Linked DNA regions of Tamandua tetradactyla. The protein of the gene in region 3 interacts with the protein of the main gene of each other region in a biochemical or structural test. Links are inferred from orthologs where the notes say so. Each region holds a gene or a part of one and is shown on either strand. Other genes may lie near its edges. The genes, in order: RBPJ, peptidyl-prolyl cis-trans isomerase-like 1, SNW1 and VDR.

Region 1 (7,981 bases), on a different chromosome or scaffold from region 3:
AAATGACAAAGCATTAAAAAAAAAAAAGTATTGTTAAAATTGTCATTACTGTTAATAATTGGCCTAGAGTCTGTGAAAACATTTTATGCTACTATTTTATTTTGAAAGAAGTCAAGAAGAAAGTCATCTCATAAGTTACAATGTGTTATTACATTTAGGTTTGACAGATCTTCAATCTTTTACACACACACACAAACACACACACAAAATACCACCCTATCATTTGTTTCACATGTCCCTCTCCCTCAAGTTTATAAGAATAAAAAGTATCTGCTTTATTACCCAAACTATAATACACATTCGGATTTTTTTCATCCTACCATCACCACTGTAACTTGCCAAGAACCGAGTAGAGTTCATAACCTCTCATTTGATTTCCTATAAAACATGACCTACTTATTCAGCAACAATTCCTAGACCCCAACCATCCCTTATATCCAAGGATATTCTCTGCAAATCTTAATGCACAGCAATCCTGTACAGATAGGGCAAGTATTACAATTCCCATTTTACTACACAGTTAGGAAACTGGCTGAGGGGAAGTATAGTAACTTGGAAATAATCACAAAGCCAGATGCCAAAAATAACAACTTTAAGTCAATCCATGAGAAAAAACTGCCCCTAGCTGAAATTTAGTATTAGGAGGAAGCAAAATGCAAAATAATGCTTTAAATCCAAACCCGAAGTTTTAATTTAAAAATTACCACATACCAGAATTAAGAAGATATGAAAGAACTACCAAAATCCTTTTTTCTAATGCCTTACCAATCTAGTCTCCCAAAAAGTATTTAATGAATTACATGTGGCAAGAGAAGCTTTTTATCTAAACCATTTTTTTATATTCTAGCCACTTAAAAGATATCGATAGAAATCTGTTGGTATAGAGTAAAAGGCAGCCTTTCAGCAAACCTAATGCATGAAATTTAATGCCTAGAAGCATATTTAGAATCAATCCTAAATTACTGCAAATGTGTCTCCACATTTTTTCCTGAAAATAAATTTTCCATAGACCTATCTGCAATACACTTGGATGACAAATTTAAAGATTTTATAGTCTATATTCAGAATGAAAGTTCTCCTGCTACAACTCATACTGTATATTTCTATATATGCTGCTGGATATAATTTAATTTAGTAAAGATACTGTTTTATTTTTAGTCACAAAATAAAGGCCTTATGTCACGAAAAAGTACATGATTTAGAAATAAAATGCAAAATGTAAAAGTTGCCCTTGTGTGTGTGTGTGTGTGTGTGTGTGTGTGTGTGTGTACAAGTCAGAATAAAATATCTTCCATTCAGAACCAACAGTGTGCTCAACAATTTTACTTCCAAAGGATGATTATGCACTAAGAACAAGGGAAGCAAATGGTTATTGGTAAAATCCACTCATGGAAACTAAACTGCAAATTTTCATACACCTCCCAGTATAAATCACGAAACTATGATTTCCATTAATTAAAATTTAAATTACTAATTTTAACCACAATCATCAGCCAAAAAAAAAAAAAAGTTTTTCAGTCCACCAATATTCCTCAGACTAGATCTTGTAAATTCTCTCAGCATCTTATGAGGAACATCAGTTTACAAATGAAATGACATGACAAAATGATTCTTTAAGTAACATATCTTCTAAAAATAGTGGCCAATAGGAGAAAAATAGTAATTTTTAAAACCCTGAATATATTCATTCTAGTTATCCTGGTAAGTCTAATATCTCATATTCTGAGCACTAGAATAATTCAAGCCATTAAAATACACCACCACCAAGATTTTAACACTAACGTAACAATGAGAATTTGGAACCACGTAATGTTCCTTTAACATATTAGGAAATGCACGTAACTAACTTTAAGACAATCTTCCTTAAGACTATTACTTATATAACTTTTAATTGCATTTTATTAATATAGTTCAGAAAGATCCTAGAAACAGTATTCATCAACCAGAAACTGCACTCTTAAGTGCTCTCCTCATTTCAACCCGAATAAAGGAACAGAAGGGTTTTCATAAATATACAGAGCAAAATCCACATAACTGTGCCTATCTGGTGCTTAAGAAAAAAACAAAACATTTATATCAAATCAATTCCCAAGCAGAATGTCTTCCTTCCTTTTTATAAAACAAAAGTTAACCAGACTCTAGATATACATTCTAGAAAATACTGAAATTCTCCATCCCAACACTCACAAGTTTTTAACAACAAAATTCACGCAACTCCTACTTACACATCAAATGAGTATCTAACATGGTATCCGAAACTATTCTCAAACACCAACAGAAAAAAATACCTTGCGTCTCCTTTGAACGTCTTAAATACCTTTCGCCCATCCTCAGGTAACCCAGATGCAAAGCTACAGACTGCTGCCCTTGGCCTAGGCCGTCCGGAACCGAGGGGAGGGCGAGAGCGGCGGGGCAGGTGGGCAAGAACCATCACAGACTCTTTTCCAGGGCTACTGTTAGCAAGCAAAACAACTACGGGCCCAGAAACCGCAAAGAAAACTGAAGACATTGTAATCCCGAGAGAAAGGGATGCGGAGGGAGGAGTGGAGCCGGGGAGGAAACTAAGTATCACCATGCATCTTTCAGACCCACTAAAACAACACCCCGCAGGGTCTGCCCTTAGAAGCACCAGATGGAGTCCTCCGCGCTGAGACAGTTCAGCAGACATACACCGTGGGTAGTGGATAAATCAACCGATGATGGGAGCGGGATGGTGACGGGGGGAGTGCGAGGAAATAAACCACTGGGTCGGGGAGACAAAAGCCTCTGGGGGCGACGAAAGATCAAGCAGAAATGAAAGAGGGGAAACACATGAGAAATACAATTCAAGAAAAATTAAAAGTCAGAAACCTGGTGTCTAAACTGTGGTAGGTCACTGGACTGCCGGGTAGACTGGGGCAAAACAAAGGAGCAAGGGAGCGGAGGAGAAGAGACGGAAAAGGGATGCGGGGCGCTACGGGTCAGACAAAGCGCCCAAGACGGCGAAACAAAGGGCCGGGGGTAGAGGGTCGCGAGGAGCAGAGGAGAAAGACAAAGCGCCCGGGGCCAGGGGCACCGGCCAGGCAACGAGGCGACCACCGCCGCGAGGAACAAAGCTGCACGGAGCTGGGAGGCAGGGTCCACGGACGGCTGCAGCGGCGCGGGAGGCGAGCGGCAGGCACAGCGCCCGCGGGCCCCGCGCGCCCCGCCGCACTCACGCCCACACCCGCCGGCCTCGCCGTCGCCGCCGCCGCCGCCGCCGCCCGCCCTCACGCGCCGGAGCCCGAGCCACCGCGGCACACCGCGGACAGCGCACAGCCACAGGGCTCCGTGCACACGCCGCCGCTCCTGCGATCCCCCGACGCCGAGCGCGCCCTGGCACCCGAACCCGCCGCCCGCCGTGGGCTGTGAGACGCCCGCAACTTTCCCCGTTCGCAGCGCTCGGATTCCCCCGACTTACCCTGTCACAACAGGCGCCATCTTCCACAAACTCTCGCCAAAACTCCAACCCTCGCGAGATTCCCCCGAAGCCTTCTCTAGTCCCTCTCCCCCGCCCCTTCCCTTTTTCCTCGCTCCTCGATTCCACCCAGCCCCCTAGTTCCTTTTCCCTTCGCAGCCGCCGCGAAAGCCAGACGCCTCGCGCCGCCCGCGGAGTAGGGGATCCAGCTTGCTGCCTTCCCTGGAAACCTACCCAAGCAATGGAGCATGCGCAGGCGGCTCCTCCGCGGGCGAGCCCTCCGTGTGGTCCATGGGGAGCGCTCCAGTTATCCGGGTTTTGAGACGTGCCCTGAGGGACGTACGTGGAGACTGAGGAAAACTGGAGGGGATTACAACAGGGACGGGGAATGGAGGGGTCAGAAGGCGGGGCCGAGGGATAGGGAGGAGGGGTCCTGGGAAAATCTGCCGCGTTTCACAGGCCTAGATGAAACACCTCCTCAAATGGGTGTTTTCCAAGTGGCTTCCCGCTCACTCTGGGTTCCCAGCCCTTTTCATTCATTCAAACGTTCATTGGACGCCTCAGTATAAGGTGCTGGAACTACAAATATGCCTGGGGTTAGGGCAAGTGACAGACCAAGGAACTATCTTTATTCTTTTGATCCCCATTGCTAATGGAGGGCCGAACATAATTACAACGTGATCCGCCCCTCCAGTGCTCTGTAAACGGAAAACTTTTGTGGTTGAACTCTGTCGCCTTAGACTTCTACTCCTTGGGTGCGAAGTGAGGTCAGGCCAAGGCCTCTTGCAAAGTCATCTAGAATGTCCACCTTACATACACACGCTAGAGCGCCGAGCAGTTTTCTCCGTAGTGTAAACTGAGTTGGAATTGAAAGCCACTATCACCACAGCCCCTCCCCACCCACCCCCGACCACGGCCCTGGCCAGAGGCCGCAAAGCTCATTCCCTGCCACTCGGTGCAGTGACCTGCCTGCCGCGTGAGCCTCTCTAGGGGCCCAACGCACCAGCCACCATGAGTGAGCCAGGTGAATATAGGGCCAACTCTGCCCAGGGAACCGGCCCTTCCATGGGCCTGGCACAGCCAAGGATGCTGCCAGCTGCCCGCCACGTACATCGAGAGCCCTAAGGTCTGAAAGCCGGGAGCAATTTTGGACGGTCCTAGCATTTAATTGAAAAGTGCAGGGCCCGAACTTCACCCCTCCCCCGCACCTGGGGGTCCCCCCACTCTCCCGCTCTACTCCGCCTTTCCTTTCCTAGAGATTCCCAGATCCTGTACTGCCTCCCACAGGGAGCCCCAAAACCCGGAGAACTGGAATACGCTCGAAACCTGCTTGAAGGCGCTGCAGGATTGGCGCGGCACGCGCGAGCCACACTGCGCATGTGCCCAATGCGGGCAGCCTAGTCTCACGCTGCACCTCCTTCCCACCGCCTTCCACTACTCGCCTCAGACACAACACGGGCCGTGGGAAATTCGCTAAACCTCGCGAGAACGTGCCCGCTGTTGCCTATACCTCGGCCCCAAGTCTCGCGGAGCCCAGGCAGTACAGGTGTTTGTCTCGTGCAGCTCTGGGCGCTGTTCGTGCAGCTCGTGTCCTGGCGGCAGGCGGGGTGGAAAGGGAGCGGCACTCCGCGGAGGCGGGACCGGTGGGCGCGTGGCGGGATGCGCAGGGAGGAGGCTGGACGTCTCGCACACACTCGCGTTCGTGACTCTTCGTGGAAGAAGTGGTCCGTAGGAAAGTAGGGGAACTTGGGAGACTAGAAACCGCTCCCGGCGTGAAAGGGGTAAGAAGTCAGACTCTAAGGCAGGAGGAGCCCCAGACCTAACTCCCGGGGACATTTAGTGTCGCCCTTCACGAGCCTGGTACTTTCCTAAAATGTGTAAGACGCCGCTGCTCCCCACCTCCAGAAGCTGACAGACAGCCCCAGTGTCAGGGTTGAGTCATGCCTGAGTCACCTAGTCTGGTTACCACTTCGCTTGCTTTAAAGCAAGTTCGGATTCCCTTAGCTACTCTTCCTTTAGCAATTGTTTTTTCCTTTCAGTTGTACGCGCTGGCCTGATGAGTTGGGTAGGAAAAAAAAAAATGCCGGTCTCTGCGCTCTCAAATTGTTGGCTAGTTTTTGCTTCCCGTTCAAGGACACGATTTTTGAAAATCCGTCTTCCGCCCCTAATCTTTTTAACCTTTTGAAGTAATCCTTTCGTACCAGTTTCTGTTCTTTTTTCTTTCCCTCAGTTAATGTGAATCATAATTTTGGTTTTGCTTCCCTTCCCCTTTCCATATTTTCTTTGAGTATTCATTCCATTTTAGGTATTGTTTTGTGGGGTGCTTTAGTGACCACTGTTTTAACTGTATCCCTTTCCTTTTGGGTTTTTATTTTGTACAGTGAGTTCCTAGTTACATTCTTCAGTCAGGCACATTTTAGATTGCCCCGGATATGGTTTCTATACCAACCTTTTCTAACATTGCTTCCTTGCTGAGAGCACCCCATAGATCCGCAAATGTAGAATTGAATTTTGATTCCTGAAGGACGCTGAGCCTTCTAATAGGAGCTCATGTTCTGATGGTTTTGTAGTGGACAGTAAAATCAAGTTTCTGTTGTTTTCAAAGGTGTTAGTGTGTATGTGTGTACCTAACCCTTTCATTATGTATTCCGCATAGAAAAATAGCATTTAATCTCAAAGCCATCCTGGTTTGGAACAGTTTAGCTCAAAAGGAGGACCATGGCCTGGACACATATTCCTGGGAGCCTTCCTCCCGAAAAGACATTTCACTTGTGGTCTAGTCCAGGTCACTGATCGAATTTGGAACTATGACCTGAAAGTCCCAGCAACCTTGAAAAGGCATAACCACAAGTATAATCATAACGCCTCATCTTCACACTAAAACCCTGCCCTGAAACTGCTCTGCCTGTGATCTTCTCTCCATCTCAGTAAATGACAAATCCATCCTTCCACTAACTTAAACCAAAAAACTTGAAGCTGTTCTTGCCTCCTTTTTCTCTCACATTCAACATCCAACCTGAGAGAAAATCATGCCGACTTCAAAATACATCCAAAAGCCAATTTCATGTCAGTTTCTACTCACCCAGTCTAAGTTATCTCATTTCTACCCTATCTTGTAGGAAGTCTCCTAACTGATAACCCTTCTTCTTATCTCGCTTCCCCTCATTCTGTTCTCAGTAGAGCATGCAAAACTACTGTGACCCTGGGTTCACAATTCTCCAGTGCTTTTCCCATTTCACTGAGCGTCCCTTCACAGTCTGCCCTGCAGCAGAAACCTCTTTGACCTCACATCTCTTACTCTCCACCTTACTCGTTCAGCACTAACCAGCTGCTTCCTTGCTCCTGGGATACACAGCACACTGTCAACTCCAGACCTTGCTCATTCTGCTGCCTGGCATGTTCTTCCCTCTGGCACCTTAAGGCTCACTTAGGATTCTTGTCTATTTTATTCACTGTTCAAGCCTCAGCCCCTGGAACAATGCTTGGTTCATGGTAGGCAGGTACCCCATATTTTTAGAATGAGTGGGGTGTCCTCTTTAGAGGAGAACAAAAATGATTTTGAAGACTCAGTAAGCCTTTTAGGTTTCAAAGCAGCATTGAAGTTATACCAGTACTGTGTAACCTAGTGCAAGCCTACATGGAAAGAAGGGGAAAGTCTACAGATCAACCTCCTGTCTTGACTTTAGGTAAAAATTAAAAGTTCTTACTCCTGGGTTAGACCAGTAAATGAAGTCACACTTACTTTAAGGGGTTCCTTTATTCTCCATTTTAGAATCTCTGGTTACTAGTAGGAGTAAAAATGTGTTTGATATTTATGGAAAGCTTTTTGGCAAACTTTATCCCTACCTGTTAGTCTTACAATTCAATTCCTATAAATTTATCTTATGACTATACTCACATATGTAAAATTACCTATCTATTACAGCACCATTTATGGTAGAACGTACTGGTAAATACATTCCATTAAGCCTAAATATCCATTAAGAGATGTCTTATTTTAAAAGATCATGCTGTATTTATAAAATGGAATAGTATACATCTGTTAATAAGCAGAGGCTGCCATTTATGTACTTACATGGAAGGTTCACAAAGATACAGTAAATTCAAAAAGCCAAGTGCAAAACAGTGTTAGATAAATATATACTTACTTACCTATATGTATCTAAAATGACTCTGGGAGGATACAATAGAAACTATAACGTTAACTGCATTCTAGTAAGGGACTTGATGGTTGGCGAACAGAGGGGAGGGGTTGGCTTATCTCACTGTCTGCTATCTTGAATCCTTTGACTTTTGTACCACGTGCAAGTATTATTGCCTACTCAAAATACAAAATGTTAAGAAAAGGAATAAACATGCAAGAAAAAAAATGACCGAATAAAATGGATTCTTCTCTGCCATTTCCTAGTAGAATTATTTTCTAATAGAGTTTATATATGTAGTGTACCATCTCAGTACAATTAAGAACCAGAAACTGCTGTCTTAGTACTATATTAGTAATAGTATTCTCCCCGGCCATTCATACAGCATGCTTAGAGTATCTAC
Region 2 (7,280 bases), on a different chromosome or scaffold from region 3:
AACTATTATCTGCTTAACTGTACCTGTCCCTGTTGGGTCGCCTCCCTGGATCATGAAATCTTTGATGATTCTGTGGAATTTCGTGCCATTGTAGTAACCTCTACGAGCCAACTCAGCAAAGTTCTTACAGGTCTTTGGAGCGTGCTTCCAGTACAGCTCCAGCACAATGATCCCCATGCTGCAGGCGGAGAAGACAACATCACACCAGTCAAGAGCAAGGTCATAGGAAAAAAAAAAAAAAAGAAGAGCAACGTCATAGCAGACAGGAATATTATGGGACTACTACAAGATTTTCAAACTTATGAGTCCTAAAACTGTGATAAGCACCAGATTTCATGCTCAGCAAAGGAAAGCAGCCCATTGCAAGTAACATGAACATACATATTTCCTTTAAGTAAAACGTGAAGGGCTTTCTGGACTTTCTTTTAAGCAAAATAACAACAGAGGACAACTCAAAATTCGAATACCTTACAAATAAAAGTAAATCACCAGTCATCTGGAACCAAAATAACCAACTTCTAAATTAGGACATAGAAATCTTACACGCAATATGTGAATTTTTTAAAAGGGGAGAACATTCAAATACTTTTCAGCCATAAAAAGGAATGAAGTTCTGACACATGTGTCAACATGGATGAACCAAGAAGGCATCCTCTCTGACTGAGAAAAGCCAGACACAAAAAGATGAATGTTGTGTAATCTTGCTTATATGGAATACCTAGAAGAAGCAAATTTCTAGAGGCAGAGAGTAAATTATAGGTTACCAGGGGTGGGCGGTGGGAGAGAAAAGGGAGTTATTACTTAATGGTTACAAAGTTTCTATTTGAAGTGAAGAAAAAGTTTGGGTAATAGACAATGGTGATAATTGTAGAACACCGTGAATGTGATTTACACAACTGAATTTTATGCAACTGAATTCAAGTTGAATTTATAAAAATTTTAAAAATACACACTGGAAGTGCATATTTATACATGCATTAGTTTCTAGGTAGGAGTGGGAATTGGTAGTTCAGCGATAAGGATGACAGGAAGATTATTCAATAGATGCCTTTTATAAATTCAGGTATTTTGAACCATGAAAATGCATAACTTATTAAAAAAAATTTTAACAGGAAAAAAGGTACAATTTGCAGGTGTTCGGGAGAAGCCCCAACAAAGACAAAAGAGTGTTTTGTTTTTGTTTTCAGTACTGCTAAGAATAGGAAAGAGGTAAAAGGGTTAGGACAGAAGCCTTTCCCTCTACCCTATTACTCATCTAAGAATGTGGGAAGTGAGTCAACTGCATAGCCTGGCCTATGATGAGGCTTTGCATTTTGTAATCACGCTATAAATGTATGTGGAGTGTGCCAGAAGACAGCTTTCTAACAGTCTTTCTGCCTGCAAGCCATCCTTCACACTAGTAACATTCAACAGGGATTAATAGTTACTCTGTGCAAGGCACTATTCTGGATGTTTTTGCCCTCAAGGAATTTACATTCTGTGGATAGTTTTTAAATACAGGAATAAACTTTTGAAATGTAATTGAGAAGCAACAACACAATTTTGAAAGGTACAAACCTTTTGACTTCTAAGATGAGGTTGCTATGGAAAAACTAACAAAAATGCCTAAGGTTACAGTATGTACAAGGATGTTAATTCCAGTACTCCAGTATCATTTGGAATGCTCTTCAAGTTGAAAATGACTAAAATACAAAACATCCATATACCGGAAGGAAATGAAAGAAAAGCAAATCACAGGAAAAACACACACACACACACACATATATATACAGTATGGTAATATGATCCCATTTTTTGTTAAAAAAACAAGAGTTATTTGTTAAGAATACATAGAAAAAGATCTGGAAGATCATCCAACAAACTATTAATAGCATTTACACAGGGAGGGCTGGCTTTCATTTCTTACTCTATACATATCTTCACTGCTTCAAATTAAATTTTTATTTATTTTGTAATTTAAAAAATGTTAACTAACAAAAGTTCAGAAATTACTTTCAAGTTGGGGCCTGGAGAAGTGGAATGTTGGCATATAAGGTGGAACAGAAGTGGACCAGGGAGCAAGAGCAGCACGAGGAAACGGGGTCTGAGAATTCTGTGCTCTGGTGAAAGCAGTGTGGGCAAAGACCAACGGAAGGCAGACAGACAGACAGAAAGGGCTGGACCCTGGCTGCTGACTTGAGAGTAGCAGAAGTTGTAGCCGGTACGCCAAAAACCAGATGATTACCAGATTAAAATGTCTAGTCTTATACTGCAGCAGCAAGAAGTCACTTAAGATTTTTGAGCAGGATCTCTGACCTTACTTTGGAAAGATCACTTCAAACTTTTTCCAAAGAGGCAATGGAATGAATGGGGCTAAAGAAAGTAGGATGTGAGGCAGACAGGCCACGCTCTAAACGAGGTTCCCCTACTCAACAGCTGTGTGGCTTTGGTCAAACGATTTAATTTGTAAATTTCGGCATTTCCTCCTGCTTAAATTGGAGGGAGCTGTAATATTACCTACATCATTTCGGTTTCTAGAAGGGTTAAACTGTAATCGCATACATCGGGGCATTGCACCAGCTGGTCGGTGCTTAATTATATTATAACACGTTTCTGAGAGTCAGGAAAATGTGCTTCTGCCTGTGTTCTGACAGTATCTTGTTTCTACAATTGCCGTACTTGCTACCTATCTGTCTTTTCATCATACTATGAGCTCCTAAGGGCTGTGTATGTTTTATCCTACGTGCCTGGTCAAATACATGCTTGTTTACAGAATGAATGAATGAAAGGAGTGGAGGAAGCTGTCGCTGCGGTCCAGGAGCTAGTCCTTGTTCAATTCTTCCACGTGGAGGCCTGCTTCCCGGGGAGCGCGCCAGGTATCGAGTGCCCCGGCGAAGTGTGGGCTCCGCGTCGCCTCCGCCAGCCCAGCCCCAGAAGCCCGATTTCCCTCACCTGGTCTCCAAGTAGACGCTGGGCGGCTGCCAAGAGTCGGGAGGAATCGCCGCCATGGCGAAGCCGGAGGAATCCTTCCTTAGCAATCGCTATTTCCGGCGTTGATTAACTGGGGACCCGCTGCCGCAGCGCACACTTCCGGTCCTGCAGCTCAGCCCTTTCGATTCCAGGGGTTGGGGGGTTGAGACAAGGAAGAAAAAGGGCCCTTCTGCCACAGGCGGTGAAGCTACGGTGCAAGGTGAAAACTGGTTGGAGCGCAAAAACAGAGGAAAATGCAAACTCCATTAGAGGAGGTGTCGAGGCAGTACCCCGCCACACTCTGGACGAAATGATTGGTTCAGGGAGGCAAAAGAGACGGAAACAAGCAGCAACGCTGCACTCTGACTGGGAGTTATGTCCTAACATTCAATTTGGATAATTTTCTAGCTCCGCTTTAGGGCAGAGATCGGAAGAGGAGGAGAATGAAAGGGTAGGAGATGAGAAATGCCTAAGACGCTGTAGTTTACGGTGAGATTACATTTTCTTATCTCCGCAGAGCAGTCATGTAGAGCTTATTATTTCCTTTTTTTCGGATGTGAAAACTGAGACTCAGCAGTTAAAGGATTTATTTGTCCAAGGTCATACAGCAAACTGAGCCGTGAGACTCCAAAGGCTAAGAGTGAGGGGAGAAGGAAGGGGGTAGATCAGGAAAGAAAATGCAGGTCAAAGGGATCAGGGCAAGAGCAAGGCTTTGCTGGAATAGATGATGCTCCAGAGTTGTCACGAGGGTTAACTCAGGGCCAGAGAAGCAGCGTGAGAAATTTGGAGGGAGGACCAAAGAGAAATGGGGTAAACTATTGTAAGTCCTTTAAAAAAAAAAAATTTATTGAAAAATATTCACATACATTCCGTACATGGTGTACAATCAGTGGCTCACAGTATCATCACATAGTTGTGTATTCATCACCATGATAATTTTTAGAACATTTGCATCACTCCAGAAAAAAAAAAAGGAAAAAAAAGAAAACCTCATGCATCCCATACCCCTTACTCCACCCTCTCAGTGACTGCCAGTGTTTGAATCTACCCAATTGTTTACCCTTTATTCCGCCCCGCTGTAAGGCATCAGGAGCTCGCCTCCTGCCCATGAACAACATCTAGTAATGGGGCCAGGATGTGGGAATCACACAAACATGTTTTTTTGCAAAAGCTAATAGCACTTTTTGCTTCTGTAGATAAGCTTGCTTGCTTTCAGCTGCAAAACCAGGATGTGGATCTGTGAAACTAATGCCATCTCTCTGCTTCTGTGAATAAGCTTGTGGTTTCAGCCTTTATAAGCCCACCCTGCAAGCCCCACGGTGCTGCTCTCTGACTCTTCCTTCTTGGGATTTCTGAGGCAGTCGCCGGCTGGCTAATAAAGACTCCAAATTGACTGGCTAATAAAGACTCCAAATTGACTTGCAGTTTTGGAACTTGGGGTCTCTCTTTCGGGGTGCCCCACAATATCCCCTACTATGTATTTATTTTTTATCCTTATTTTTTTACTCATCTGTCCATACCCTGGATAAAAGGAGCATCAGGGACACATGGTTTCCCAATCACACGGTCACATTGTAAAAGTTATGTTGCTATATAATCATCTTCAAGAAATAAGGCTTCTAGAACACAGCTCAACAGTTTCAGGTACTTCCCTCCAGGCACTTCAATATACCTTAAACTAAAAAGGGATATCTTATATAATGCATAAGAATAACCTCCAGGTTAACCTCTTGACTCTGAAATCTCTCAGCCACTGAAACTTTATTTTGTCTCGTTTCACTCTTCTCCCTTTTCGTCAAGAAGGTTTTCTCAATCCCTTGATGCCAGGTCCTGGCTCATCTTGGGAGTTCTGTCCCACATTACAAGGGAGATTTACACCCCTGGGAGTCATGTAGCGTGGAGGGCAATGAATTCACATGCTGACTTAGCTTAGAGAAGCCACATCTGAGAAACAAAAGAGTTTCTCTGGGGGTGACTCTTAGGCATAATTACAAGTGAGCTTAGCTTCTCCTTTGCAAGAATAAGTTTCATAGGGGCAAACCCCAAGATCAAGGGCTCAGCCTGTTGATTTACTTGTTCCCACTGCTTGCAAGAATATCAGGAATTCCCCAAATGAGGAAGTTGAATATTTTCTCCTTTCTTTCCAGTCCCCCAAGGGGACTTTGGAAATACTTTTCTTTTTCTGCCCAAATCACTCTGGAATGTATCGGTGTATCACACTAACCTGTACAAACCAACAAGATCTCATGCCCTATTCAAGATTCCATGTACTTATGGTGTTCAACTAAACTGACCATACAAGTTAAATTAGGTAATGCACTACTCAAAATATAAATTTTGCACCAAATAAACATTTCTGCCTTTGGTCTCACACAGAAGTTGAAGTTTTAAAATATGGACCATATCATCCTTTACCCTGTATTCTGATTTACTTTAGTCCTTTCCAGTTCAGTTTCTTTCATTCATATCTCTAGTTGAAGTCTGATCACTTTTTCAACTTTTAAACAGTTTCTGTATGGGGTAATACTGACTTTCATAGCTTCAGAGTTCTAACTTTGAATCTCAGGTGTCACATAAATACCTGAAGTTTCTGCAAACGGCCAGGTTATATACAAACAGCTCAGTATCTCAGAATTTAGAAATAGCAGTTACACCTCCTGAATATATGTGACTGCTGTAAGAGCTTATAGTGTATGACCTTTACAATAGGCCCTGACCTGATGACCCATGCTCTTGCTATTACAAATAATGCTTCATGTATATATATTTGTACACTTGTCTATGAATTTTTATTGGGTATTGTGTTAGTTAGATTCAGTTGTCAACTTGGCCAGGTGAGCATACCTAGTTTTGTTGCTGCGGACATAAGCCAATGGTACCTGAACCTCATCTGTTGCTAATTACATTTAAAGTCGACTAGGAGGCGTGTCTGCTGCAGTGAGTGACGTTTGACTTAATCAGCTGGTGCTTAAATGAGAGAGCGCAAGGTAGCACAGCCTAAGCAGCTCGGGCATTTCACATCTCAGTATTCACAGCTCAGCCCAGGCCTTTGGAGATGCAGAAAGAAGTCACCCCGGGGAAAGTTGTTGGAACCCAGGGGCCTGGAGAGAAGACCAGCAGAGACCATTCTGTGTCTTCCACGTAAGAAAGAACCTCAGTGGAAAGTTAGCTGCCTTTCCTCTGAAGAACTAACAAAATAAATCCCCTTTTATTAAAAGCCAATCCGTCTCTGGTGTGTTGCATTCTGGCAGCTAGCAAACTACAACAGGTATATAGCTAGAAGTATAATTGTTGGATCATAGATTGTGTGTGTTATAACTTAGTAAACACCAGACTGTTTACCAAAGTGACTGAAACAATTTACATTCCCACCAATAGTGTGTGAGAATTGCTATTATTGTTCTACATTCTCACCAACACTTAGTATTGTCAGTCTTTTTTTATACAAAAAATTCTGGAGGTTGTGTAGTGATATCTCAGTAATTATTTCCCTAACAACCTATATTAATGAAGTTGAGCACTTTTTCATATGTGTATTTGCTAGTCTATTTTGATATCCTCTTTTTGTGTTCAAATCTTCGGCTCATTTTTCTATTTGATTGCCTTTTTCTCATTTATGGAATTCTTTATATATTCTGAATGCAAGTGGTTTCTACCACTTCATGGCACATCTTTTCATTGTCTTACTTGTGTCTCCTGATGATCTAGAAGTTCAAAAGTTTCTAATTTTAACGTGGTCTAATGTGTCAATCTATTTTGCAGCACTTCAGAATTCTGACTAGTCACATTTTAAAGTGCTCAACAGGCAGTAGCAACAGCTGCCATACTGAGAAAGCAACCCTAAAGCTTTGTTTTACTTTTCTCATATAGATCTGCAATGCCCCGAGAATTTATTTTGATTATAATGTGAGGTAGGAGTCAAATTCAAATATTCAGGTTTTTCTGTATTATACACAGTTGAACCAGCATCATTTATTGAAAAGATTATCCTTACCTCACTGTTTATCATAAATCAAGTATCCCTATATATGTATTTCTTTTTTGGCCTCTCCATACTTTGTTCCATTGGTTTGTCTATTCCTGCACCAATATCACACTGCCTCTATGACTGGCACGTCATAGCCTGAACCCAGTAGCACTTTATTTGCACCTCTATTAAAGAAAGCAGTTAATAACTTTGGCTCTAAAGACTGGGCGGGAAAAGGAGACTGCATAATGCTACACAAATTAACTTCTCCATAAACTGTATTTGGTCAGTATGATGTAGATAAATGTTGTGGGGCTATTTGTCTTAGATCACTGAAGCGGTTTCATGAGGTAACGAATATAAA
Region 3 (7,688 bases):
CAGGAACAGAGGCTGAAAGAAATGGAGCCCAGGAGTAAGGGGCCAGCAGGTGCCAGTCACGTGACTTCCCAACTGACAGAGGTGTTTCAGATCCATCAGCCTTCCTGAATTAAGGCATCTTTCCCTTAATTCATGAGTTAGTTTGGACACTTTTATAGACTTAGAGCTGTAATCTTGTAACTTTTTAAATCCCCTTAGTAAAAGCTCTTCCATTTCTGTTATATTCCAATCTGGTACCTTCAAACGAATAATACAGCAAATCTGATTTTTCTTGGCATATAATTCTATGAATTTTAATGCATACAGATTTATGTAACCATCATCACAAACAGGATACAGAGCAGTTCCATCCCACCTAAAAAACTCACTTGTAGTGGTCACACCTCCCCCCTAGCCCTAAATCCCTGGCCACCACTGATCTATTCCCTGTCCCCTTAGTTTTGTATTTTCAAGAATGCCATTTATGGAATCATAGACTACGTAACCTTTGAGACTGGCTTCTTTCACTAAGTATGACACCTTTGAGATTCATCCAAGTTGTTAGATGTATCAATAATTTGTAGAAAGAGAAATGTTTAAACCTCATTGTTCAGAGGTTTAATTTATTTAAAAAAAAATATCGAGAATAAAAGGGGATCCTGGAGATTATCTGGGCCCTCTCTGTCTTTTTCAGAAGAGAAAACTGAAATCCAGTGAGGGTGAGCTTCTTAGTTTCCAGGCTGCTATGACAAATGCCAAACACTGGGTGGGCTTAAACAAGGGAATTTATTGGCCCTCTGTTTTGAGGCTAGAAGAAGTCCAAAATCAAGATATCAGCAAGGCTTGCTCTCTCCCAGAGTCTGTAGCATTCTAGCCTAGGCTGCTGGCAATCCTTGAGGTTCCTTGGTTTGTATCTTTGCCTCCCATCATATAGTGATGTCCTCTCCCTTCTGGCTTCTGTGACTTCCGGGTTCTGTAAATAAGGCCTCCAGTAACATGGATTAAGGCCTATTCTCATTGAGTTGACCTTACCTTAATTTTTTAAAAAAATTAATCTTCCAGAGTTCCTATTTACAATTGGTTCACACCCATAGGAATGCAAATTAAGATAAAAAAATATGTTTGCTGGTGTACATATTTCAACCATCCACAGTATGGCCCTATCCAACTCGGTGCAGGCATAGGTGATAGGGATACAGTGATGAGAATGAGAGGGTTTTCTGGAAAAAGCGGTTTTATTCACAGACCATACAATCCATCCGGTGTATACAATTAATGGCTCTTAGTATAATCATATAGTTGTGCATTAAATACTACAATCCATTTTAGAATATTTTCAGTGCTCTGAAAAGAAAAACACCATAACCCCCATACCCCCTTACTATTGACTCTTAGCATTACTGTGGTAACCTTGTTACAACCAATGAAAGAATATTGTAATATTACTTTTAACCATAGTCCATAGCTTGCAGTAGGTGTATTTTTCCCCATCTGTTTCTGTTTGCTAAAGCTGCCAGAATGCAATGTACCAGAAATGGATTGGCTTTTACAGAAGGGATTTATTAAGTTATAAGCTGAAATTCTAAGTCCATGGAAATGTCCAATTAAGGCATCAACAAGAAGATGGCTTCATTGAAGAAAGGCCAATGGTGTCTGGGTTCCTCTGTCACATGGGAAGGTACATGGTGACATATGCTGGCTTTTCTCTCCTGGATTGGCTTCAAAATGGCTCTCTCATCTCCTGTAAATCCTTCTGGCTTCTGCTGGAGCACTTTCTTTCTCTAAGAATCTGTGAGTCCTCCCTTAACTTCTCTTCTTCTTCTGGGCAAACTCTAGATTTCATCTCTTGACTTAACATCTCCCGAGGTGTTTTTTCTCTCTAAGTGTCTGTTCTTTCTCCAAAATGTTTCCCTCTTAAAGGACTCCAGTAAGTGGATTAAGACCCACCTTGAATGGGCAGGGTCACAGGTCCATAAAAACAACTTAGTCCAAAGGTACCACTCAACAATAGGTCTGCTTCCACAAAATTGGACTAAAGAAGATAGCTTTTCTGGGGTACATAATCATTTCAAACCAACATACCACCCTGTTATTAACACCTTGCAATAATGTTGTACATTTGTCCTAGTTCATGGAAGAACATTCTTATATTTGTACTGTGAACCACCTTCGTCATCTAAACAGTGTCTACTGTGCTATGCAATCCCATGTTTCATTCTCTAGCTTTCCTTCTAGTGACGTACACAACCCTAAGTTCCCCTTTTAACCACAATCACACACACAATTCAGCACTTCAGTTGCATTCGCAATAATGTTCTGCCATCACCTCTATCCATTTCTAATAATTTACTATCAATCTTACTAAAAATTCTGGACAAATTAAGTATCAGCCCCCCATTTACTAGCCTCATTCTATCATCTCCTAATCTATATTCTAGATATTAACTCCATGAGTTTGCTCATTATACTTAGTTCATGTTAATGAGATCATACAATATCTGTCCTTTTGTGTCTGACTTATTTCACTCAACATAATATCCACAAGGTTGCCCCATTTTGTCACATGCGTGAGGACTTCATTTCTTCTTACAGCTTAATAATATTCCACCGGATATATATGCTACATTTTGTTTATCTATTCATCAGTTGATGGGCACTTGGGTTATTTCTATCCTTTGCAATTGTGATTATGCTATTATGAACATTGGTGTGCAAATATCTATTCACATCCTTGCTTTCAGTTCTTCTGAGTATCTATACCTAGTAGCAGGATTGCTGTATCATATGGCAGTTGTACATTTAGGTCCTCAAGGAACTGCCACACTGTCTTCTATAGAACTATTAAACTCACCATTTTAAATTCCCACCAGAAATATGTTCTCAATAGGAATAAATGTTCCTATTCCCCACATCCTCTCCAACACTTGTAGTTTTCTATTTATTTAGCAGGGGCCATTCTAGTAGGTGCGAAATGATATCTAATTGTGGGTTTGTTTTGCATTTCCCTAATAGCTAGTGATGTCAAGCATCTATTTGCTTTTTAACCATTTGTATTTCCTCTTTGGAAATATGTCTATTCAAGACTTTTGCTTATTTTTTAATTGGATGCTTCATCTTTTTATTATTGAATTGTAGGATTTCTTTATATATTCTTGAAATTAAGCCCTTAACAGATATGTGATTTCAAAATATTTTCTCCCATTGAGTAGGCTGCTTTTTCATCTTTTTGACAGTGTCCTTTGAAGCAGTAATCTTCAATTCTGAGAAGGTCCTATTTTTCTATTTTTTCTTTCATTGCTTATGTTTCCAGTGTAAGGTTAAAGAAACCACCAATGAACACAGGGGTAAAGAGGACACTGTCTATACCACACATACTCTGAGACCAAAGGAAGAAAAGTTTATTTTGTCTGGAACCTAAATTTTCTGTGGCTCATAATCTAACTCAACCTATCTGTATAGCTCATTTGAACAATAAAACACAGGGAGCCGAGAAAGAGGGTCTTTAATCCTGTATAGCTTAATGTAATGCCTGGATACATCCTAGAATATATTAAGCAGATAATAAAAAAGTATTGGCAAAGACCTTTGAGGGATGGGAGAAAAAATATGAAACTATTAAACTTTACCATCAGGGAATTCCCTGATACTGTGTCAAACTTTAGGGACACCCAAATCAATAGGCCATGCCCTTGATCTTGAGGCTTACTGTTGTGATGTTTATGTAGGTATCTTAGAGCAGCTAGAAGTAAAAATCTAAAACTGTGGAATTGTAACCCATGCCAAATTCTGAAATCGGTCCTACAGCTAATTATGGTGCCGTGCTTTGAAATTTATTGGTTTGCTTTTTTTCTTTGTATATGTCATTTTTCACAAAAAGAAGAAAAAGTTGATTATGATGATAAAATGTATACATATTCCTTCTGACCTCCAATGTTCTGGAGCAGCTAGAAGGGAAAATCTGAGATGATGATATGGTAGCCCATGACAAATTCTGGGATCTGTCCTGTAATTCTTGTTGAAGAGTGCTTTGAAAGCTATTGCCTTTATCTTTCTTCGCTTTGGAAAAAAAGAAAAAGAAAAAGAAAAACCCTCAAGACTCGTCTTGCTTCATTTATACTCCACCTACTTCCCTTTCCTCAATATTTTGAAGCAGATCTCATTTATTTTATCACTTTCTCAAGGATTATGCTTAACCCATAATTTCCGTGTACCTAAACATATAATTTAGAACACATATGCACATTGTACATACCAGGAGTTTTCTAAAAGTAACTCTTTAAAGGATAACAAAATACTTTCCCAGGAGTGTTTCACGTGAGAACACAATGTAAAAAAAAAAAAAAAGTTTTGAATGTGAACGTTTTCAGAGCGTCCAAGAACTGTTCATTCGCCGGTTTCACGACTTGCCAATATGTGAAGTCCCCGTCACCTTTTTATTTAATGTGAATAACCCCTGAAGGGTTTTGTGTTTAAGACTCTACTAGGGAAATGGGACTGATTTAGGATAAAAATAACAAAGCTGCACTAAAAAGCATCTTCCTCCAACTTTGTTATTTTGCCTAGGGAAGGTATATGTGATACTTATGCACGTGTGATGTATTTATTCTTCTTAATTGAAGCGATTAGCCAATGATAATTACTTAGTCGGGTTAAACGCGAGCATAATTGTACTACTGTTCAACGAACTACAAATCCCAGAAGGCCGTTCGGCTAAGGCGCCTGCGCTTCGCATGCTCCTTCCTTTCCCCGCCTCGTCGCCGGGAAAGGTCCGCCCCTCGGTGCGGTCGGTAGCGCTGGAAGAAGCGGAAGAAGATGGCGCTCACCAGGTGGGTTGTTGATTCGGGTCCTCGATACGGAAGGCTCTGGGAGAACCCACCATTTTCATTTCTCTGACTACTGTCTCCGGGCGGTAATACGGCCCAGGGCACAGAGCGACGTGGGCTGAGGGCATGGGTAGGCCCTCCCGCCGGCCGCCGCGGCCACTAGGCCTCGCTGAAGCTGGGGTCTCCTCTGGGCGCCTTTTCGGGTTGAGTTCTCCCTGTAAGTGGGGCCACAACCACGGTGTGGCGAATAGTTTTCTGCCCTCAGGTGCTGAGGAGTCGCACATGTTTCTCGGTTAAGTATCTTGGGGGATGCGGAGAGCGACTTGGTGGAAGCAGTGGGGATGTGGAGCATAGTGGCTTGCTTCAGCGGAGTGAAGCTGGAGGGAGGTAACTGAGCTGCTTTCCAGCCGTTTGTCTGCCGAGGTTCTCCTTTCTCCGTCCACTCCTGAAGAAAGGGACCGAGAACTGAAAGGAATTTTAAACTAGTCTCAACAGTGACCGCTATCTACTAATATGCTCCGCTGCTTCCCACTTTAACTTTGGACCTTAGAATTTCTTTCCTGGATAGAACACCTTCAGATTTTTGCTGTTGCCGGTTGCCTTGGTAACCGTATGTAAAGTGGTCCTCGCCTTTGAGAAAATGGTGCTGTAAGTGTGGGATTCTAAAAAGTTATATAACTTCTGCTCCTCAGTGACCTTGTTGCCCCATTTAAACTTGAAAAACTTTTCGTGTGAATTCAGCAGGAAAATTTTACTGACGAAGAGGGCTGGAAAAAAAAGTATCATTTTAGTGGCTATTTTCAAACAAGTGTTGATGAAGATGTGGAATACTTGAATTCACATATACTTACTGGCAGGAATGTTTTGGAAAACAAACTAGCAGTTTCTCAAACTGTTAAATTAGAGTTACCGTGTGATCTAGCAGTTCCGCTATAGGTATGTCCCTAAGAGAAAAAAAATTGTCCATGCAAAGATGATTGCACAAATGTTCGTAGTGGCATTGGTAATAGCCCAAAAGTGGAAACAATCCACGTTTAACAACTGGATAGATAAATAAACTGATATAGTTATACAACGGGTTATTGTTTGGCTATCTTTTTAAAAGTAATCATTTTAGGGCATTGGCTTGAGCTCCCTTAACACTTCATTCAACGCATTTTTCCTGGCACAGTTATGAATCCTAAGTTTTAATCAGAAAATTATTTTGAGAATTGCTTTTGGGTACCTTGCTCCCTCCTAAGAGTTGTGTATATGGAGGGAAATCTGAAATCTTTGGCTGCAGGGAAGAGGACGGGCAAAGCATACAAATGTGAAACAATTGAAGAACAGCACAAAACGCTATTCTTAACCATAAGTGCAAAACCATAAGTGCAAAAAGAGTTGGATGGAATGAGCTGTGCGTATTGGAGAGTTTTCTTTAGTAAATGTTAACAGACAGTGAAGTGTCCTCCAGGTGCAAGGTATTGTGATATAGACTAGTAAAGCTATAAAGGAAGATTTTGTGCAACAGACAGAATTTGAAATGGACACAGAAAAAATACCAAAGATGTATTGTGTGCTTAAAATTGCAACAGCACAATACAGTTTTTAAATGGCTAGTCTTTGAGGACTAAGTAATTTTTTATTTTGTTGAGTTAATTCTAGCTGATTTGATTTTTGGAGATGGTCTCAAACATTTACAGGTGAAGTGTTATGTTATCTCCTACATCTACCAGAGATTCTTAACAGCAGGGTCAGTTACATTCTTGGTGTCACTGGTGATTGTTACTAATACTAACTAAAGGTTTAAAGCCTGATGGATTTAATTTTCGAAATTCAAGTGTGTTTAAGGTTAGTTGTCACATGCATTTGATAGTCTTTTGATACTAAGAGGGAAATGGTAGGCTAGAATTTCTCAACAATGGTATTTTTGTCATTTTGGACTGGATGATTATTTTGTGGTGCTGTCGTGTTGTGCATGGTAGGATGTTTAGCAGCATCCTTGGCCTTTAATAGATACCAGTGATACTGCCCCTCAGTCATGATGGTTAAATACTGTGCACATAACCAACAGTCTGTTTTATTTATTCAACAGCCCTGCTATCAGCCCCCTCCTCCAATGGTAGACTGCCTCTTTAAGGAAATGTCATCCTCTACAGGAAATTACAATGTTAAGGCATTCTGGAGACTAGAGTATGTTCTGACCAAAATCCAGGCACTGCTACCTGTTTACTGGATTGTCCAAACCCTTTGCTTCCTGACAGGCTGCCTGCTTTTGGATCATTTAGTGATGACTTCTTCCAGTAAAAAGTAAAGAGAAATGAAACAGAAGTAAATATTTTGGTTTCTTTGTTGCTTTCTTTTTATCCCTCTTATGTGTTGATTGTATATGGTTTACTGAAAACAAAAATGGAAAAAGCCCAAGACTTCAATTCAATTTATGCATTGATTAATTCATTCATTTAATTAGCAAACATTTGTTGAAAGGTCTGCCGTGTGCCAGGCGCTATTCTAGTGCTGGTTTTATAATACTGAATCAGCCAAGCAAACTCCCTCACCTGACAGAGCTTAAATTCTAGGAGAAACAGACTGTATAAGTCAATAATGCAATTTCAGATAATAAATCCTAGGAATAAAATAATGAAAGAAAAGGAATAGGATAGAGAGTGACTCAGGTTTGGGGTGGAGTGATAACTTATTTAAAACAGGGTGGTCAGAAAATGGTTCTAAGGTGTGATGCAGCAGAGACACGAACATAGCCATGAAAAGCTTTGGGAAAGAGTTTTCTATAAGAGCATTACAGGAAAATTTATTTTTAATAATTTGTGGCAGAGAGAATAGTAGATGTTAAGATTTCTTAGTTCAAGAAAGGTGAAAAGGCTAGGGTGGTATAAAGATGGTATGAGT
Region 4 (7,522 bases), on a different chromosome or scaffold from region 3:
CAGGGAGTAGGCTGAGGTATAGGGGCTGCCCTCTGAATTAAGTACCCCTATCTTCCCCTCACCCCTGTAGCCTCTGCAGAGGTGTTCACTAGGGACCTCTGTCACTGGGGTTCAAAATTCTAGTTTGCCCTGGACACTTTCAGTTTATGCCTATTGTCCTGGTATAACTGTTAATAGCACACCTTTTCATTCTAAAATGTGTCCCAGTTTGGATGATAAATTATATAGTCACTCTCTATTCCACCCCGGAGGGCACTGAGATTGGAGAGGTTAGGGGAAAATCAGGGAGGAACATAACTAGAAGCACAGTCTTTGTGGTCGAGAGCAACACCCAGGCTGGCTTCACCCCAGGTGGAGCCTCTCAGAACCAGACAGAAGTGGTGGGAGGGCTGCTGCCCATCCTGGAGCTAAGATCTCTTGGGGGCAAAAGCAGTGGGTTCTGCTTCCTGCCATCCATCTGAGGGCCAAGCACCATGCTGGGTACTCAGAAAGCACTTAAGCAAATATAGTCATTTCCTTACTTCCTTCTACTTGCATCCGAAAGAGAATAGCAACAGTGACAAATGGAAAGTTGGAGCCCTATAACTCTCCTTGTTCATTAGTGAGGAGAACAAATTGGAATGTCATACTAGCTCAGACTTCCAGGTCCTCCTGACTTCAGCACTTCTATCTCTAGATCGCCACTGTTGAGTATTATACAGCAGCAGATTTCTAGCAGAGATTTCAGTGGCAGATCTCTGCAAGGCTGATCCCTACCTGCGTAAGGAAGCAAACAACAGGAACTCCACTCCTCCTCCTGACTGGGATAACACTAGGTTCAAGTCAATCCCTCCACATGAAAGACACTGGCTTAGGACTTTGGCTTTGGACACTGGCTGTTTGTTATTGGGAGGAGGGGTAGAGAAAGAATTAAAGAGGTCCTCTTAGAGCTTCCTCTGGGGCTTAGTCCCAAAAGGAGATCAGTTCTGAGGTCATATAGGGGAAGAAGACAGAGAAACCATAAACACAAATTACCTGAGCACCACAACATAACCTGGACCTTCCACAATATTGGGACCAAGTGATAGGCTTGGCTGAAGAGGAGTGAGGATCTTCCTTTCCTCCTTCTGACCCTACTCTTCAGTCTCTCCTTTAGCTTGGTCAGGATCCAAGTCATGGCTGATCAGGGACCAGCCAAACCCTAAGCTGTGGACCCAGCCGGAGCACAGACTGTGAATTCCCCAGCTGTTTGCAGTTTGAGTCAGCTCCACAGCCTAGTTGGCTGCCATGGATTCTTCTGACTTGGGTCCAGAGAGGCTCTTGAGTAGAATCAAAGGACACTGGGCCTTCTATTTCTGCTCAAGGATCTTAACAGCATCCAAAACAAAAGCCAGAAAGAAGTTTACATTCTTACTACTTCCCAGTCTGGCCACATGCCAGTTTCAACACTATTCCAAAAAGATCCACAATCTCTTCTAGCACTTGGATGGGGTGCAGGGGGATGAGGGAAGTTTCTCTGTCACTCAACACTCTTGGTCCACAGAGTTGAGGCTCCAGAGTCCAGATAACCCATCTCCACCTCGTCAAACCATCCCAACTCCCTAGTTTGGGTTAAAGACTTCTTTGACAACACAATGCCTTCCCTGGTCCCGGAATCTTCCAATTTCCTCTGCACCCCCACTTCACCAGCAGACAAGGGCAACTAATGAGATCACTAGACAGAAATGGTATGAGGAGGATGGAAAAGTTTGCAGAAGACTGAGGTAGACCTCACGATACTAGGAGAAGGATAAGAGACATGGATTTACCACAAAACCACAATCCCTTCTCAATCAACTCCTTCTGGAATCAGAACATCCCATAACTATTGCTGTGTTGGGTGTCTGAACGCCTGCCCCCTGCGGAAGCAGCCACCACTAGCCACAAGGAGACAGCCTTCCAGCAGGGAGCTGGAGCAGAGCTGAACTCTGCCCAGGAGAGCTTCTGCAATGCTCAGAAAATGCCTGCCCAACTGCTTGCCTGGGCTCTGGCCCCTCTGGCTGCAACTGAGCCCAGACAGGAGGCTGACTCACTCACCGCACGGAGGAGGAGGAAGAAGAGGAGGAGAAAGAGGAGGAGGTTGTGCGGGAAGGGCCTGGGAGCAGTGACCCTGGGATCCCCAGCCCAGGCAGCCTGGGTCTCAGCTTCAGCAGTCCATGGGGGGCAAAAAGGGGGACCGGGGCTGCTGTCCACTGCCCACTGGAGACTACACACTGCTTCCTGGCATATACTTCCCTGAAGCCTCTTCACCCGCCCCCCACAGACGCCTGGCCCCTCACCTCCTTCAGACAGAAACTACTCTCTGAGCCCCCTCCTCACCTAGACGCTTGCCCCTGAGTGCCTATGCCTCACCCATGGTCAGGGTCTCTTGAGGAAATTAATGCAGTACTCAAAGGCTAAATAGGTCTAAAAGCATTGGAGTTAAAAAAAAAAAAAAAAGGCAGGAAACACACCTTACTTAAAAGACCCAACTTCACCAGCACAGGTGACCACACGTGGGCCCCACAAGATAATAAATAAGGCTACACACTCCACCCCCAAAAGATTTAGCGCCATCCACAGCCAATCGTTCCCCTTCTTACTCCTTCACTCTGTGCCAAGGCACCCGGACAGAGGAAGGAAACAAATGTTTCTTGTTGCCCAAGTGCTGAACACTGTGCTAGCGGAGCTTTTCTGCATTAAGCTAACCGAGCACCCAGGTGGTCTCTCTGAGAGCCCAGTGCCTCCTCAGTGCCCCAACCTCATGGCAGCCCGGCTCTCGGTCTCCAAGTTTGCCCCTGTGACTTAGACTCTAGTGCTTGCACCCGGCTATTCAGCCCCGGTACCAACCGCCCCGCACCCCAAGCCTGATCTCTATGCTGGGACCCCCTTCCCGGCTGCTCCGGGGTCCGCACCTGGTTCCGCGGGTAGACACGCTGGTCCGCGCTCCCAGCGCCTGGGGATCGGCTGCTGCCTTTTGACAAGCAGAGACAACCCAGCACCTGTCCCCGCCCCTCTCACAGGCCCCGCCCTTAGGTCCGCCCTATGCCTTGGCCCCGCCCACACGTCCAGTCCTCTCTTGCCAGGCACTCCATTCGCGCTGCAACCATCTTGACTTGGAATCAACCACTGCACTGTCACCTTGGAGACTCTGCCCCAAGTAGCCTTTCACGACTGCTGTCCCTAAAGCAAGGCATGCTTTCACCTCTTGTACATGGGAGTTTTCGATGACTGTAAGTGTGCAGATCTACGCTCCTGCCTTCGAAATTCTGTGATGTTTTACTCCCCACCCCAGGTGCCGTGGTTCTGCCCAGCCTTCCACCGACGCCTCTTCAGGTGCGTCACCCTCACCTGGGCTGACACCGCCAGGACTTTTCCGTCGTCCGTCGGGCGCTGGGGGGCGCCTGCCGACGGGCACCAACGGCTCTCTCCGCTCTCGTGGAAAATTCGGGGCGCCATTCGCCGTCGTATTACTTTTGCCGAGTGCCAGGGAGCTGAGCCCGAACCCACGCGCTATGATTAAAATAAATAAATAAATAAACGGGGCCGGAGTGGAGCCTAGATTTGCATCATCGCTCTTACTCTATGTCCCCTAGGCAGAGACCACAAATGGCTAGGTTACAGGTTCTTCGCGAATCTCGTCCTAGCTGGTTTAGTGTCAGCTTCTGGGGCCCTGATCCCCAGTTCCCCCTTCCCCGGCATGACATTGGTGTAAAAGGGAGGGAGGAAGTGAAAAATACATACTAAGACCTGGAATCGGGGATGACTATGAAAAAGCTGACATAGATTTGGGCTAAAAAAGAAAAGAAAAAGAACAATTTGGGGCCTCACTGTTTACTCTATGCTGCTTCCCTAACTATGGATTAGGTAGCACTGTGCTGGACAGTGGAGGAGATGAAAAAGACATGGTTCCCTCTGTTTTAGAGCTCACTATCCAGTGGGGAAATTCATAAATAAATAGTAATTACAACATAATTACTACATAATGTGCTGCAATAGAGATGCCCACAAAATCATCTAGCAGTTGGTGAACTCTTTTAGGCAGGGAAGGCATTGCTATTCACCTTTTATAAAGGAAGAAGCCATGGCTCAGAGGGACAAGCCAAACAGGTGGGAAACTGAAGCACAGAGAGGTTAAGTGATTTGCCCAAGGTCACACAACTGTACAATACAGGGCTAGCACTGGAGTCGAGCAAGTCTGCTGGCATAGTGGCTTCTGAACCATTTCTGAACCAATTATGCCATACTATTTGATACCAACCCCTCTCCAAATCTCAATAATTGGATCAAGATAAATGAACTGAGGGTAAACAGAAGGAAGAACCTTGAAACTGAAGTTTGCTATGCACTGAAACAGTTCGTTAAGGGGGTGTCATGGAAACTTAAAAAAAATGGAAGCGACACCCATCCTTTCACTGAACTTGGGAATGGACAATGCATGCTGAGAAACAGAAGAGATGAAATGCCCTTTGGAGGCTCGGCTGATCTGATGGGTCTGGAATTCTCTGGTTGTAATGAAAGGAAAAGAATGTTCTCAACTCAAAGCATCATGGAAACTCTAGCAATGACTCCCATGGAAAGAGGGTATCTCTAATAATCACCACTTTGGGACATTCTCAGGAAGTCTGTGAACCTCTAGAAGGGGTTAATCACTCAGAAGTCACTTTTGTGGTGCCAGAGACAGAGGTGAATGTCATCTAGAAAATAAACTTAACAAAACATGGCAAGACATGAGTTACTAGTATAAAATAGTAACTGACTATTAGTCTCTGAGGTGATTTGGAGCTATGTACCTCAGAAAAACATGTTCTTAAACTTAATCCATTCTGTAAGTGTGCATCTATTGTAAGTAAGACCTTCTGATGAGGTTGCTTCAGTTAAGGTGTGCTCCACCTCAGCACGAGTCTTAACCCTATTACTAGAGTCCTTCATAAGCAGAATGAAATTTAGACAGAGAGGAAGCCTTGGGAAACAAGAAGCTGAAGGTCAATGGAACCCAGAAGAGAAGGGAGAGGCCAGGAGATTGCCATCATGTGACAGAGGAGCCAAAGACCAAGGATCACTGGCAGCCAGCCCCAGAATGCCATACTTCAGGAAGGAAGCATCACCTTGATGATGCCTTGATTTGGACTTCACCTAGCCTCAAAACCATAAGCTTATAAATTCCCATTGTTTAAGCTAAACTGTTGCATGGTATTTGCTTGAGCAGCGAAGGAAACTAAGACACTCTTTCTTCACAGTTCTTGGTTGTAGTCTACTAAGAATACCTAACATGTAAAATTTGACAGTATCAAAAGAATTATTTGGATTATCTCATTTGATCTTCAGTACAACCTTTTCTGTTAAGCAGAGTAGAAAATACTCTCGTCTTTGTACAATTAACTGTTGTGCAGAGTTGTTGATGTTCTTACAGCTAGGGAGTGACAGAGACACGTGGACTTTCTATCTTTTGGACCACAGTCTAGAAAACTCAGCCTTTGGGAACTCAGAGGTTTTGAGTTTGGCAGCTTTGCAAAATTATAGATGTTATCAGAGATCTAGAACATTCCATCATCAGCCCCATCAACATATCCCTGATCATGTTTTTCTTATCTTCACCCAATATCTGAGTTGCTCTGTCATCTGTCTCCCGAGACTCTATCCTCCTTCAGGTCTTGTCTATACCATTAGGCCTTTCCAGCCATCTCCAGGCCAAAAAGACCTGTCAATTCTCTGGTCTTTGTATTGTCTGTTTTGCATGGCTTGTCACCTGGCAATGAACCATCTTGCATTCATATTGAACAAAGATGGATTTTCACCTCAGTTTTCATCTTAGGAATGTCATTTTGCAAAAATAGAAAAGCAAGATTACATCAGATTCGCTTCTGTGGTGTTCTGTTGTAATCACTAATTGCCTCCTGACCCTGCTTCTCCCTAGCCAAGTTCTAGGAAGGGAGGCTGCTGTTTTACACCCTGTTCTCTCAAAGCCTTTGATGACACTCAGCATTCCTGTACTACAGAATCATTATCTTTAAACTTTAGCTTGATTGCTGTATGAGGTATGCATCAGAACCTCTGCAGAAAACACTAATTATCTCTTTCTTGTCCTTGAAGTTAATATTTCTAGAACTCTTGCTTGTCTCTGGAAGGGAGGATGGTTGTCTTTATGGGATTCTCAGATTGTGTTTTTGTCAGTACTCATCTCTGATAAATTAATATATATTAAGTGCTATGGGAAAGACACCACACTATAGTGTTATAAACTCAACAGTCTGTGTAGAAACAAAGGAGCCCAACCAGGAGATTCCTAGCTGGGAGGAATGATTCCAGAAATGCCAAGCTGAGGCCACCCCATGTGCATGCCATTCCACAGGATCTGAGGCCAGTTTTTATGTGCCTATAGGTGGCCTGAGCAGGCCTGTAGTCAGGCCACAGAGCTTCATCCTATCCTCAACTGATGGACTCCCCTTTCCTTAAGGCTGGCCACTGTCCCCTAGTCTGGCTGGCACTCTCTGGACCTCCTGCCATGGTGCCAGAGCTGAAGTGGTGACCTTGTCCCTACAGAGGTTCCCAGAGACCTTGTCTCTAAGGACAGAAGGATAAGCGATCCAGAGGATTCTCTCCAGGTAAAAGTATGTCCTTTGAGTTCTCTCTGGAGCACTCCCACCTGTTTTTCCTTTTTTTAAAGCCCTTTCCCCCTTAAATATTTTATGGTACAGGTATGATAGGAATAAAGGGAAGCCTCTTACCCGGTAAGTATCTAGAGAACATTCTGAGAAACATGGAATCATGAAGTCATAGAAACAGAAGGGTCCAGCCCATCCATTTCAATCAGTTCTCTTGCTTTAGAGTTGAAAAAATTAAGTCCAGAAAGGCTAGCTCATTTATCTTTTCTAATCGATATCAGGACAAAAAAGATCCAGGACTGGATCCTGTTTGTGTTCTAGACGGTGAAAATGGAATAAATAAATGGAAGAAGCTATTAGCAATGAAAGCAAACCAAACAAAAAGGGTCTTCTCAGGACAGTGATTTTCAAAGTTTTAACTGCAACACAAAGTAGGAAATAAGTTTTTATCATGACCTAGTAAACCCATGCACATATATAAATTAGATAAAAGCCTTATGAAATACAGATATCCTACAATGCTTTCAATATTTTCTACTATTTTCTCTACCATTTCTTCCTTCCTTCCTCCCTCCCTCCCTCTCTTTTTCTCTTTCTTATGAGATCCACCAAATGGATGGATTCAACCATTTCTTTCTTTTTTTATGGGATCCACCATTAATGGGTTGTGAGCTTTAGCTTGAAAAATTCTGCCCTGGGTTATAAGCTAGGCTGACTAGATTGTTTGTGTGACCAATGGACCGAGGGCACTGCCCAGGTTTTTGTGTTGTGGTTGTTTTTTTTTTCCCCAACTGTTAACTGCCCTGGTTTTGATTGAATCTCATCTTCCTGAATAATGTGAGCAAGCTCCGTGGGATCCCTTCATTTAGTACCTGGAACATGAGATTCTAAGAAAGGCTTTGAGAGAACCACAGGGCTTA

What was found.
Region 1: the proteins of SNW1 (region 3) and RBPJ form a complex in vitro, tested with the Homo sapiens proteins (2 studies listed by BioGRID). The link is inferred for Tamandua tetradactyla from reciprocal best matches to the Homo sapiens genes SNW1 and RBPJ.
Region 2: the proteins of SNW1 (region 3) and peptidyl-prolyl cis-trans isomerase-like 1 form a complex in vitro, tested with the Homo sapiens proteins (2 studies listed by IntAct, with this or other methods). The link is inferred for Tamandua tetradactyla from reciprocal best matches to the Homo sapiens genes SNW1 and PPIL1.
Region 4: the proteins of SNW1 (region 3) and VDR form a complex in vitro, tested with the Homo sapiens proteins (2 studies listed by BioGRID, with this or other methods). The link is inferred for Tamandua tetradactyla from reciprocal best matches to the Homo sapiens genes SNW1 and VDR.

What each region holds. Positions count from the first base shown.
Region 1 is NC_135345.1:26,657,918-26,665,898, reverse strand, and holds the start of RBPJ (recombining binding protein suppressor of hairless), read right to left. Parts: upstream 3,014-7,981; 5' UTR 2,669-3,013; coding exon 2,289-2,668; intron 1-2,288. UniProt on the Homo sapiens protein: Transcriptional regulator that plays a central role in Notch signaling, a signaling pathway involved in cell-cell communication that regulates a broad spectrum of cell-fate determinations.
Region 2 is NC_135331.1:93,682,808-93,690,087, forward strand, and holds the start of peptidyl-prolyl cis-trans isomerase-like 1, read right to left. Parts: upstream 3,020-7,280; 5' UTR 2,988-3,019; coding exon 2,932-2,987; intron 179-2,931; coding exon 24-178; intron 1-23. UniProt on the Homo sapiens protein: Involved in pre-mRNA splicing as component of the spliceosome. PPIases accelerate the folding of proteins. Catalyzes the cis-trans isomerization of proline imidic peptide bonds in oligopeptides. Catalyzes prolyl peptide bond isomerization in CDC40/PRP17.
Region 3 is NC_135338.1:37,116,517-37,124,204, reverse strand, and holds the start of SNW1 (SNW domain-containing protein 1), read left to right. Parts: upstream 1-4,685; 5' UTR 4,686-4,791; coding exon 4,792-4,805; intron 4,806-5,344; exon of another isoform or gene 5,345-5,442; coding exon of another isoform or gene 5,443-5,450; intron 5,451-7,688. UniProt on the Homo sapiens protein: Involved in pre-mRNA splicing as component of the spliceosome. As a component of the minor spliceosome, involved in the splicing of U12-type introns in pre-mRNAs.
Region 4 is NC_135333.1:107,855,921-107,863,442, forward strand, and holds the start of VDR (vitamin D3 receptor), read right to left. Parts: upstream 3,006-7,522; 5' UTR 2,913-3,005; intron 1-2,912.